Macaca mulatta: one gene and its partners. The protein of the gene in region 2 interacts with the protein of the main gene of each other region in a pairwise test. Links are inferred from orthologs where the notes say so. Each region holds a gene or a part of one and is shown on either strand. Other genes may lie near its edges.

Region 1 (2,713 bases), on a different chromosome or scaffold from region 2:
TGGGGCTGAGAGAAAGGTCTAGGCCTAGAAGGCCTGGGACTCTCAACTCCAACTCCTCCTCCCCCACTTCCGTAGTGGGCTCACCTCAAGCACCCCACGTGGTGGCCCTAGGTAGAACAGATTCGGGCGGGCAAAGCGCCTTAGATCCCCAGTCTGCAGCCCAGGGCAGGGTGCCAACTTCTCCTCATCCCTTCATAGGCCACAGAATGGAAAGACACTGGGGCTTCTCTGTTGGGAGCGTAGGAGGGACAGACTGGACAAAAGGGCTCCCGAACAGGCTCCGAGGGGAGCAACCCCGCCCTGACCCCCGTCCCCAACACCGTTCCTGGCCTCGCTCCCCAATGTCCCGGCTCTGCACCAATTCCTCCCGCAAGCCAAGGAACAGCGAGGCACTCCTGGTCTCTAAACCGTTTTATTTCTCCAGAAGGTTGGGGTGGGCGAGCCTAGAACACTGCGTGCGGCGGGTTCCCGGGTCCAGCCAGCGCGGACCGCGTGGGGCCCGGCGGCTCTTAGGCGAAGGTGGAGTTGTTCCAGCCCACGTTGGCCGCGTTCATGTCGTAATAGTTGATGTAGACCCTGCGCGGGGAGGAGGCTGGACTCAGCGGGCGGCTCAGTCACCGGCCTGGCCGCGCGCCGCCGCCCCTCCCCCGCGCCTCCGCGCCTCCGCGTACCTGTCCGGGCTGATGCGCAGGCGCTCGGCCAGCAGGCCGCACAGCAGCTTGCTGTAGGAGCGGTTCTGCGCGCCGCCGATCTTGCCGATGCTGTGCAGGCTGCAGAGCGCGCAAGGCTCGCTGGAGCCTCCGAAGGCCATGAGCTGGTCCGGGACCACGTGCACCGCGATGTACTGCATGAAGGGGCGCGGTCAGCCCGCCCCAGCGACCTCGCCAAGCCCCAAGCGTCCACTTCGGGCCCGAGCCACCGTCCTCCCCCCGCTCCGTCCCCCCAGCTCCGTTCGGGAGTCGCCTCCCCAGCTCCCAGCGCGGGACCCCCTCGTCCGGCCTGCACCCCCTCTTCCTGTCCCCTCCCGGCAAACCTGGGGGGGCTTGCCGGTGGCCTGCGCCAGCTGCTGGGTGAGCTCGGAGAGGAACCCGTCCGGCACGGAGGCGCGGGGCACGTTGGTATTTACGATGAACATCGGCATGATGGCAGAAGAACCCGGACACCCGCGCAGAAGCACAAACTCACGCGCCGCGGCCGCAGCTGAGCTACGTGCCTGACTTCTCGGACACTACTGCGGCCCCGCCTTTTGTGACGCCACCACCTGCGCCAGGCCCCGACCCCGCGAGGCTGCGGCTCCGCCTCCAGTGGGGACGTCACCGCCTGCCTCGGCTCCGCCCCGCAGGGCAGGACCCTGGGCGACTCTGCCCGTTCCTCCAGCAACCGCCGCTAAGCCCGGCGCACTGTTCCAAACCGTTCTCCACCTGGCCGCTAGAAATCGGCCTGTCCCGGCCTCGCTTCGGGTCTTTCTTAGTCCTTTCACTAAGTCACCGATGATAGTCGCCAGGAGGCGCTGTGCCGGCAGTGGGGATGCGGTGGTGAACCCGGAAGATGGCCCCTTGCCCTTCCAGAGATGAAGCCGAGTTGATTCCACTGCACGCACTGAGCCCCTGTACCTCCTGAGTCTTTGGGCCACGCGTCCCCAAGGGCTCCAGTCCCTGCACGCGTTAGCTTGTGTGTTTGAGATGGGGAGGGGCAGTCACTGCGGCAGGTGAGAGGGGAGCTGCCCCTGCGAATCACCATCCGGGGAACTTCCCTGAATCCCTGCTCTTTAAAGAGGATAGGATGCTGGGAGGCACCGAAGGTGGTGAGGTCGAGACCAGGTTCAGTGGTTCAAACGTGCGCAGCTCCACTTCTCTGGGCCTCTGGGCAACTTCAGCTCCTCAGGGAAGCCACACCCTAGTCAGGTCCACCGTGTATGCCCTCTCATAGAGCCCTTGCTGAATTTCTTAACTGTCTTTTCCACTAATGGTAAACTTGGGGACCATCTAGCAGGTGCCAAGCATACTAGAGACATTGACTTAATACTGCCGAATGAATGAATGAATGAATGGGTGAAAGAAGATAAGCCATGACATAGCAGGAAGAGGACAAGGCAGCAAGTGGATCACAGGCCAGGTCCTCAGATTTCCAGGGAGGTCCTGTCCTTGGTCTCTGATAGGTGCAATCCATATACCAGTCTCGGTGAAGGCCATGTGATATAGTAGGGACACCCATGCCTGTGGGACCCTCGTGGCACCAGCCAGCCTCCAGTTGGGAGGCCCCATGGCCCATTTATACAAATAGCCTATGGGTGTTGGTTCCTGCAGCTGGGCCCCAGACTCTTTCCCTCCTGCTGTCGCACCTTCTCTTACTTGTGTCCAGGGCTCCCTAAATGATGGCACTCCATGCCATGTCTCCAGCCAGGGGCACTCCCCTAAGCCCCAGGCACTGACAGCAGCCGACTGAGTGTCCACTGCTCTGTAAAGTCCAGATATATGACTTGTCCTCCTACACCTGATCACCTGCCAGTGAAATGTGCCTCCTTTCACTATCCCTTTATTCCCACTTCTCTCCATTCCCTGCACTACTGCCTAGTCTGCACTAGCTGCATTGCCTTTGGCCTGGACCACTGTGACTTCCCTATGGTGGACTGCTGCTTCTCGAGGGAGGAGTCTGTTTCCCAGCCCCAGGCAGCAGATTTAGCTATGACTCCCTGTGCCCAATGAAAGCTGAA
Region 2 (3,748 bases):
AGCCTCCCAAGTAACTGGGACTACAGGCATGGGCCACCATGCTCGGCTAACTTTTGTATTTTTTGTAGAGATGGAGTTTCACCATTTTGCCCAGGCTGATCTCAAACTCCTGAGCTCAAGTGATCTGCCCGCCTCCACCTCCCAAAGTGCTGGGATTATAGGCATGAGGCACTGCACCTGGCCACTTTAGCTTCTTTATCTGTAAAATGGCAATGATTATACTTTTGCCACTGGGTATTTGTGAAAAGCAATTAAATTAGTGTGGCATATTGCCTGGCACACAGGAAGCACTCTTCTCTTCTCTCAGTCTTGCTATTTATTTCCCTTTCCATACCTCCATTATCTTCTTCTCTGCCTTCATCACTGACCTATGTGTCTTCTCTGTCACCAGGCTGTAGTGCAGTGGTGCGATCATGGCTCACTGGAACCTCTGCCTCCCTGGCTCAAGCCACTCTCCCACCTCAGCCTTCCAAGTAGCTGGGAGTACAGGCATGCGCCACCACCATGCCTAGCTAATTTTTGTATTTTGTTGTTGTTGTTGTTAGAGACAGGGTTTTGCCATGTTTCTCAGGCCAGTCTTGAACTCCTGAGCTCAGGTGATCTGCCTGCCTCAGCCTCCCAAAGTGCTGGGATTACAGGCGTGAGACACTGTCTCTGGCCCTATGTCTTCTTTTCCTTCTCAGGATTTTTTTTTCCCCTTTTGTTTCCCCCATCTCCCTTTGCTCACTTTTCTCTTCTTGCCCCCTTTCCTTTTTTTGTCCTTGCTGGTCTTCTTCCACCTAGAGTTTTATAAGTAATCTTGGTCATGGAGCGATGCAAAAGCATGCAAAAGGAACTTACGCAAGGGTAGGGCACAAGAGGGAAATGGAGCAGAAAAAGACCAGGTGGCTGGGCACGGTGGCTCATGTCTGTAATCCCAGCACTTTGGAAGGCCGAGGTGGGCGGATCACAAGGTGAGGAGTTCAAGACCAGCCTGGCCAACATGGTGACAAGTCACCATCTCTACTAAAAATATATAAAAATTAGCTGGGCATGGTGGCGTGTGCCTATAATCCCAGCTTCTTGGGAGGCTGAGGCAGAAGAATTGATTGAAACCGGAAGGTGGAGGGTTGCAGTGAGCCGAGATCGCACCACTGCACTCCAGCCTGGCGACAGAGCGAGATTCCGTCTCAAAAAAAAAAAAAAAAAAAAAATCTGAAAGGAGAGTTTTTTAAAAGTGAGGATCATGGAGGGCTAAATAAGATGGGCGGAGCTGAGATTACAGCTGACGGAATGGGGATTAGACCCAAGTACCAGATAAATCTAGAAACTAGAGAAGTGAAGGAAGTTACAGTACAGAAAACAGTTCCACTTGATCTTCACACATAAAGGTGGAAGAAGAAATAGGATGATCTCCTGTTGTTTTTCAGGCTACGGAAAAACCTGCGAGCCCTGGTGGTTGTCCATGCTACATGGTATGTGAAGGCATTTCTGGCACTGCTTCGGCCCTTCATCAGGTACTAGTTCTAGGAACAAGGACTCCCTTCTCCTTCCCCCCATTTTCAAAATCAAGATTAAGATCTTTCTCCACCTTGATTCTTTCTAGCCTTAACCACTCTACTTCTACATTTTTCTTTGCAAGGATTTTTGGGAACCCTTCTCCCAATACAAAACACAGTTGGTTTATTCTCTCTTTTCAGTTCCAAATTCACACGAAAAATCCGTTTTCTGGACAGCCTGGGGGAGCTGGCGCAACTCGTATCCCTGGATCAAGTCCACATCCCTGAAGCTGTCAGACAGTGAGTTTCACACTTAAGGATAAAGCTTTGGGGGTGGGATGTGTAAAGCCAATCCCTACTTTTTTAATGCCTTGGGGGACATACAAAAGAACGAAAAGACAGAGGCCCTGCTTTTGGGTGCTTTAATATATATGGGGAAACTGCACACACCCAGAGAAGAAATGAAGGACACTATTGCATCCAACAAGAATAAATGAAAAAAAACCCTATATATATAAGTGCAGAGGCAATAAGGAATAATCACAGTGCAGAGGAGATTCCGACTGGCCCTAGAAATTAGGAAGAGATGTGTTGGAAGTGAACAGATGATATCCAGTGGGGGAGAGGGTATTAGGGAGCAAAAGTGCTAAATGATGACTCAACCCAATCATCTAGCTCTTCCAGTTCACCTGGCTTGTCTCCCCAAACCAGAAAGTAAAACCCAAGTCCTGCCCCTGAACCTCTTCTCTCCTCTCGTCTCCCCTCCCTCTCCTAGGCTGGACCGGGATCTCCATGGCTCAGGAGGGACCTAACACAGGACTGGATAAAAGGCCTTAGAACCAGTTAGTGATCTGCCTACACCTGAATCCCTGAAACATCTGAGCTGTTTTGTAAATCATCTTATCCCCAATCTCAGTACCACTGGATCTTCACTTCTCAGTGGGATTTTGTCCTTTGCATGACCCTGCCTTCAGCAGGGCTTTGAGACTGGGAAGCTGGTCTGCTGGGTGACTTTCATTCCAGTTGTTGGGGCGGAAGGCTGAATGTAGGGTCATTTTGTATGGGATATGCAGAGCTCTGGGGTTGTTTTGTTTTTTGAGTTGGAGTCCGGCTCTGTGGCCAAGCTGGAGTGCAGTGACGCCATCTCGGCTCACTGCAACCTCTGTCTCCTGGTTCGAGCCATTCTTCTGCCTCAGCATCCCGAGTAGCTGAGACTACAGGCACACACCACGCCCAATTAATTTTTTTGTATTTTTAGTACAGACAGGGTTTCACCTTGTTGGCCAGGATGGTCTTGATCTCTTGACCTCGTGATCTGCCCGCCTCAGCCTCCCAAAGTGCAGAGATTACAGTTGTGAGCCACTGCGCCCGGCCAGAGCTCTGGGTTTTAATCCTACTTTAGCTGTAGAACCTTGGGCAAATCATCTTTTTGGGTCCTCATTTTCCTCCTCTCTAAGTGGAGGGGCTGTGATCCTTCCACCTTGGATGGAAGAGGCTTACCTGACAGCCAGCCTGCCTGCTGGGAGCCAGGAGAGTCAGCTCCTTAAATCTTGAAGAACCCCTGTATGCCCTTTTTCCTTCTAAGTCATGTCTGCTGCCTGTGAGCCTGGGAAGGAGTGCTTTCAAAACCTGTATTTTGCGCTTTAGTAAATTTAGAACTGTAGAGACTAATAAACTGCGATGAGACATTTAAGCTCTACTCCAAAGAAGTGAACGACTCTTTCACCACCCCTTGCATCCCAAACCTTCTTTCGGTTCTGGCAGAGTTCTTGCCGCAGAGATTCCTTAGGAGCACCCCGCGCGGTGCGCGGGCGCCTGCGCGTCGAACCCCACCCCCTTCCCCGCGGGCCTCGGTTCAAACGACCCAGTGGGTCTAGAGCGGAAGGGAGGGAGCGAAGGTAGGAGGCAGGGCCTGCCTCAGTGGCCTCCCTCCCAACCCCAAGAGCCCAGCCCCATGGTCCCCGCCGCCGGCGCGCTGCTGTGGGTCCTGCTGCTGAGTCTGGGTCCCCGGGCGGCGGGGGCCCAAGGCCTGACCCAGACTCCGACCGCAATGCAGAGGATCAGTTTACGCTCTGCGGGCCCCAGGACCCGCAGCTACCGGAGCACCGCCCGGCCTGTTCTTCCCCGGAAGACGAGGATAATCCTAGAGGACGATAATGATGCCATGGCCGACGCCGACCGCCTGGCTGGACCGGCGGCTGCAGAGCTCTTGGCCGCCACGGTGTCCACCGGCTTTAGCCGGTCGTCCACCATTAACGAGGAGGATGGGT
Region 3 (3,731 bases), on a different chromosome or scaffold from region 2:
CAGCTCAGCAGCCAGAGGACCCTTCAAAGCCACATCACTCCATGCCATCCCCTGGCTCCAAACCCACCAGGAACTTCCTGTCAGGGGAGCTGGGAGTAGAAGCCATGGCTCTGCCGGGGCCTTGGAGACCTTGTGCCGTCTGGCCACCCTGTACTCCTGGGGCCCCTGCATCAGCTACTCTGGCCTCCCCGCCCCAACCAATCAGCGTCCTTGCTGTTCCCAGCTCATTCTCATGTAGGGATCTCTCTCCTCCTGAGGAACGAGGACCCCAGCAGGAAATGCAGCTGGGCACACAGGGATGGAACAAGCCCTGCCCACTGCTATAAGACCCAGCAGAAAACACACTGAAGCCAGGTCCTCAGTCACTTCAACGTTTCATTTGGGCTTCAAACTCTGAGGAAGCGGGCCCCACGAATCCCCTGTGGACAGGCATGGCACAACGCTGGCAGGCATGTGCCAGGCAGGGAGAGGGCAGGATGGCTGGTGGACCCTCAGAAAGACCCTGCCTGAGCTTTCCCTGTAGGGACTGAGCGGAGTAGAGAACTGAGCCCCCTAAAGTGAGCAGCACAGAGCCACGGGGGGCAGGGGCATGCCTGGCTGCATAGTGGGAAGGCAAAGGCCTGGCCTCCAGGAACAGGCACAGGGACGCCCAGCCAGGCCTGCTGTCTTCCTGTGTGAGAAGCGAGGCACCAGGGTATGCGGTGGGCAGGAAGTCACATCCTGAATGCCAAGGGGCAGCCCAGGCTGTTCCTGCCTCCCTCACCTGCAGTTCAGCTGCAGCTCCTTGGGGCCTCCACTGAGGAGGAGGCCAGTGGGTGCCTGCTGTGTGCACCTCCACTTCTGCTCCAAACCTAACAGGGGCAGGGCAGGTCCCCACGGGCAGTGTCCTGGGGACCACCCAACTGAGACACAACAGGCTCTGGCTCTGATGCACTTTAATGAGTGCCCTGCCCCTGTCCAACCAGGCCACTCCATAGGCGCCTGGCTCGCTGTCCCATGGGCTCTGGCTGACCACCCTCTAGTCACAGGAGCCATCCTTCCAGCCGTCGCGCCAGCGCTCATCCACTTTTGAGCAGTCGAAGTCAGGCTTGCCCAGCTTGCGGTTCACTTCATTGTGCAGGTGGCACAGCCACTGCGTGAAGCCTGCCCGAGTGCGGGTGTCTGGCTGGTTCCTGCACAGCCTGCATAGGGAGAGCATGTAAAGAATGGGAGGACGCAGCGGCTCCACTGCCCCTGCCAGTTCCCTGTCTGCTCCCAAGGAAAGACAACTGGGGCACTGCTGTGAGCTACACCTGGGAGTGCCCTTATGCTCCAAGGGACAGGAATTCCCAGAACAGGGCTGACCCTGCAGCTCCCGGGTGTGATGAACTCCCAGGGTTGCTCAAACACCCACCTGGAGAGCTTGGCAAACTCCAACGAGGCCTCAAGGCAAGACATCACAGCACAGACCTGGCAAATTTATAAGCTTCTAACACCCAGGAAGCGGCATCCAGCGTCTCTGGCCTCAGGCAGAGTGTGGCCTGGGTGGGGCTGGGCACAGCCTTGTAACTGAAAACTGGACTTGTTTCTTAGCACCTGAGGGAGGCCCTGGTGCCTCAGTTCAGCAAGAGACTTAATTCTAACTGCCCAGGCTTACAGCAACAATGGCAACTCTGCCCTAGACATCTGGTCTAGAAACACCCGCAAGGGCCAGTGCTGGCTCTTGGATGCCTCAGTGAGGAAGAGGTGGCTCTTGGGGGCAAAAGCAGTGGATTTCCAAGATTTTAAAACCAGCAGTCCTGCTCTAGAAGTCAGGCAAAGTGGAGTCCTCCCTAACTTGCGGGGAGCCGTCTTCAGTGCCAGACAAGGCAGGGAAGCCCTTCCTGGAGTCCTGTGGCTGTGGCAGGAGCAGTACTCAGCAGCAGATCCCAACAGTTTGGCTTTTGAGACAAGACGAGGAGGCTCAGATGGCCCCAGGCCTCACCTGTTGGAGGTCCCTGCTCCTCAGCAAACTTCTGCCACCTCTGCATCCGTTTCTCTATGTTCCCCGCTATTACGTCAGCCAGGAGCCCCAGCCCAGGCTGCAGTGCAAAGCTCTGCTGCGTGCAAACACATCTTACCTTTCCCTTAGGTCTTCAGCACACTCCTCACAGGGGTAAAACTTAGAAAATAAATGTATGAAGTGGGCCATGTCTTGCTGCTGTTCTGGGGTGGGCAGGTCGGGGTAGTAGGCGGCCAGGGTGTGGAGAACAGCCCAGCTGTGGCGGCCCAGTTCCTCGCGATCCGGCGGGCAGTCCTCCCTAAACTTGGTGTCCCGCTGCGGAAGCAGGCCAACCAAGAGTGAGTTCATTCTCCGAACAGAAGCGCCCAAAGCTCCCCCTTCTACGGCCCAGCCGGTGGCCCACTGGACTCCGGCCAAAGCCCTGCAGACGATCCAACCCACGCGCGGATGAAGGCTGTAAGGCCGGGCTTACCCGGGGGCAAGGTTCAGGGACAGGCAACCCCGGGGAGCTCTGCCGGGGCACCTGGGCGGGGGCAGGGGCAGCGGCTGCGCGGGGCTGGGAGAAGTCGGGCAGGGATCTGCACCTTCTGCTGCGTCCGCATCCACGTCTTGAAGTCCACGCAGGCCCGGCACGGCCGCCTCCGGGAGGCGTCCACGGCGACAGGAGACTCGGAGGTCGGCGCCTGGGCTGGCGTCGGGGCCGAGGTGGCCGCGTCTCTCCGCCCCGCGCCGCGGCCCCGCGCGTCGGTCGCCAGGTCGTCCATCACCTCGGAGCGCGCGCCTCCCGGCAGGAAGAAGAGATTCCGGCCGTGGAAGCTGCCCCGCTCGCCGGGCGCCGCCATGTTGCCCGCGCAAGGCCTGCCGGGCCAGCTCGGCCTCCAGATGAGCCTCCAGGTCAGCTTCCAGGCCAGCGCGCAGCTACAGTAGCCGGAGGCGCGCGCCGTGCTCGCGGGGGCCGGGCCCGAGCTGGGGCTTGGGGCGGAGTTGGGGGCGGGGGCCGGCGCGCGGGCCCGTGTGGAGGCGGAGCCAGAGGCCGCGGGGCGGACCGGGGCGGGGCCGGGCCCGGGGCCAGGGGCAGGGACGGAGCTGGAGGGCCGGAGCCTGCTGGCACCCCGGGGCCTCGATCCGCGGCGCACGCCGTGGTTGCGCCGTCCGTGGCGGCGCTCTCGCTTCCTCCAGTAGAAGAGCAGTGTGTGGCGGAAGGTGCGCAGCGGAAGGTGCGCCGCGGGCGCGCTGTGGACCTGGGCTGACACTCAGGCAAAGTCCGTGTTGCGGCCCGCGACGCCCCCATCGCTCCGCTCTGAGTGTCCTGCGTTCCTGCGGCCAGGCTCTGTGCCCTCCGCTGAGGGGCGCGTCCCACCGGCTGGCTGCCCAGCGCCTTCTCAACGCGGGGCGGGCGTGACCGCACAGATTGCGGCGCGCGCTAGGGTTCTGGGCTGGTGTCACCGCCCTGGCGCCATGGCAACGGGCGCCTGGCAACGCAGGGCGGGGCGCGGCCGCAGAGGGCTGGCGCGTGCCTTGGGCTCCCCGGCGCCCCCCGCCAGCTGCCGCGGACCCTAGAACCTGGGGTGAGGGGTCGGGCTCCCAGTTGGAGCGGCCTCTGCGATTCCTCTGCCTCCTTGCGTTCATTTATCCATTCCGCTATTATTTGTGCAGTGACTGCTCTGTTCCAAGCGCTGTTCCAGGTGCTGGGCGGAGCAGGGAACACAGCTCTGTTCCCTGACCTCCTCTGTTCATAATTCAGTGGTCA

The links.
Region 1: the proteins of BNIPL (region 2) and MIF interact in a two-hybrid assay, tested with the Homo sapiens proteins (2 studies listed by BioGRID and IntAct). The link is inferred for Macaca mulatta from reciprocal best matches to the Homo sapiens genes BNIPL and MIF.
Region 3: the proteins of BNIPL (region 2) and GFER interact in a two-hybrid assay, tested with the Homo sapiens proteins (2 studies listed by BioGRID and IntAct). The link is inferred for Macaca mulatta from reciprocal best matches to the Homo sapiens genes BNIPL and GFER.

What each region holds. Positions count from the first base shown.
Region 1 is NC_133415.1:28,066,952-28,069,664, reverse strand, and holds MIF (macrophage migration inhibitory factor), read right to left. Parts: upstream 1,223-2,713; 5' UTR 1,142-1,222; coding exon 1,034-1,141; intron 845-1,033; coding exon 672-844; intron 577-671; coding exon 510-576; downstream 1-509.
Region 2 is NC_133406.1:116,053,168-116,056,915, reverse strand, and holds the end of BNIPL (bcl-2/adenovirus E1B 19 kDa-interacting protein 2-like protein), read left to right. Parts: intron 1-1,409; coding exon 1,410-1,496; intron 1,497-1,679; coding exon 1,680-1,778; intron 1,779-2,253; coding exon 2,254-2,290; 3' UTR 2,291-3,177; downstream 3,178-3,748. Other genes in the region: C1H1orf56 (protein MENT), read left to right, coding at 3,433-3,748. UniProt on the Homo sapiens protein: May be a bridge molecule between BCL2 and ARHGAP1/CDC42 in promoting cell death.
Region 3 is NC_133425.1:3,203,621-3,207,351, reverse strand, and holds the start of GFER (FAD-linked sulfhydryl oxidase ALR), read right to left. Parts: upstream 2,907-3,731; 5' UTR 2,824-2,906; coding exon 2,566-2,823; exon of another isoform or gene 2,407-2,565; intron 2,297-2,406; coding exon 2,100-2,296; intron 1,182-2,099; coding exon 1,019-1,181; 3' UTR 1-1,018.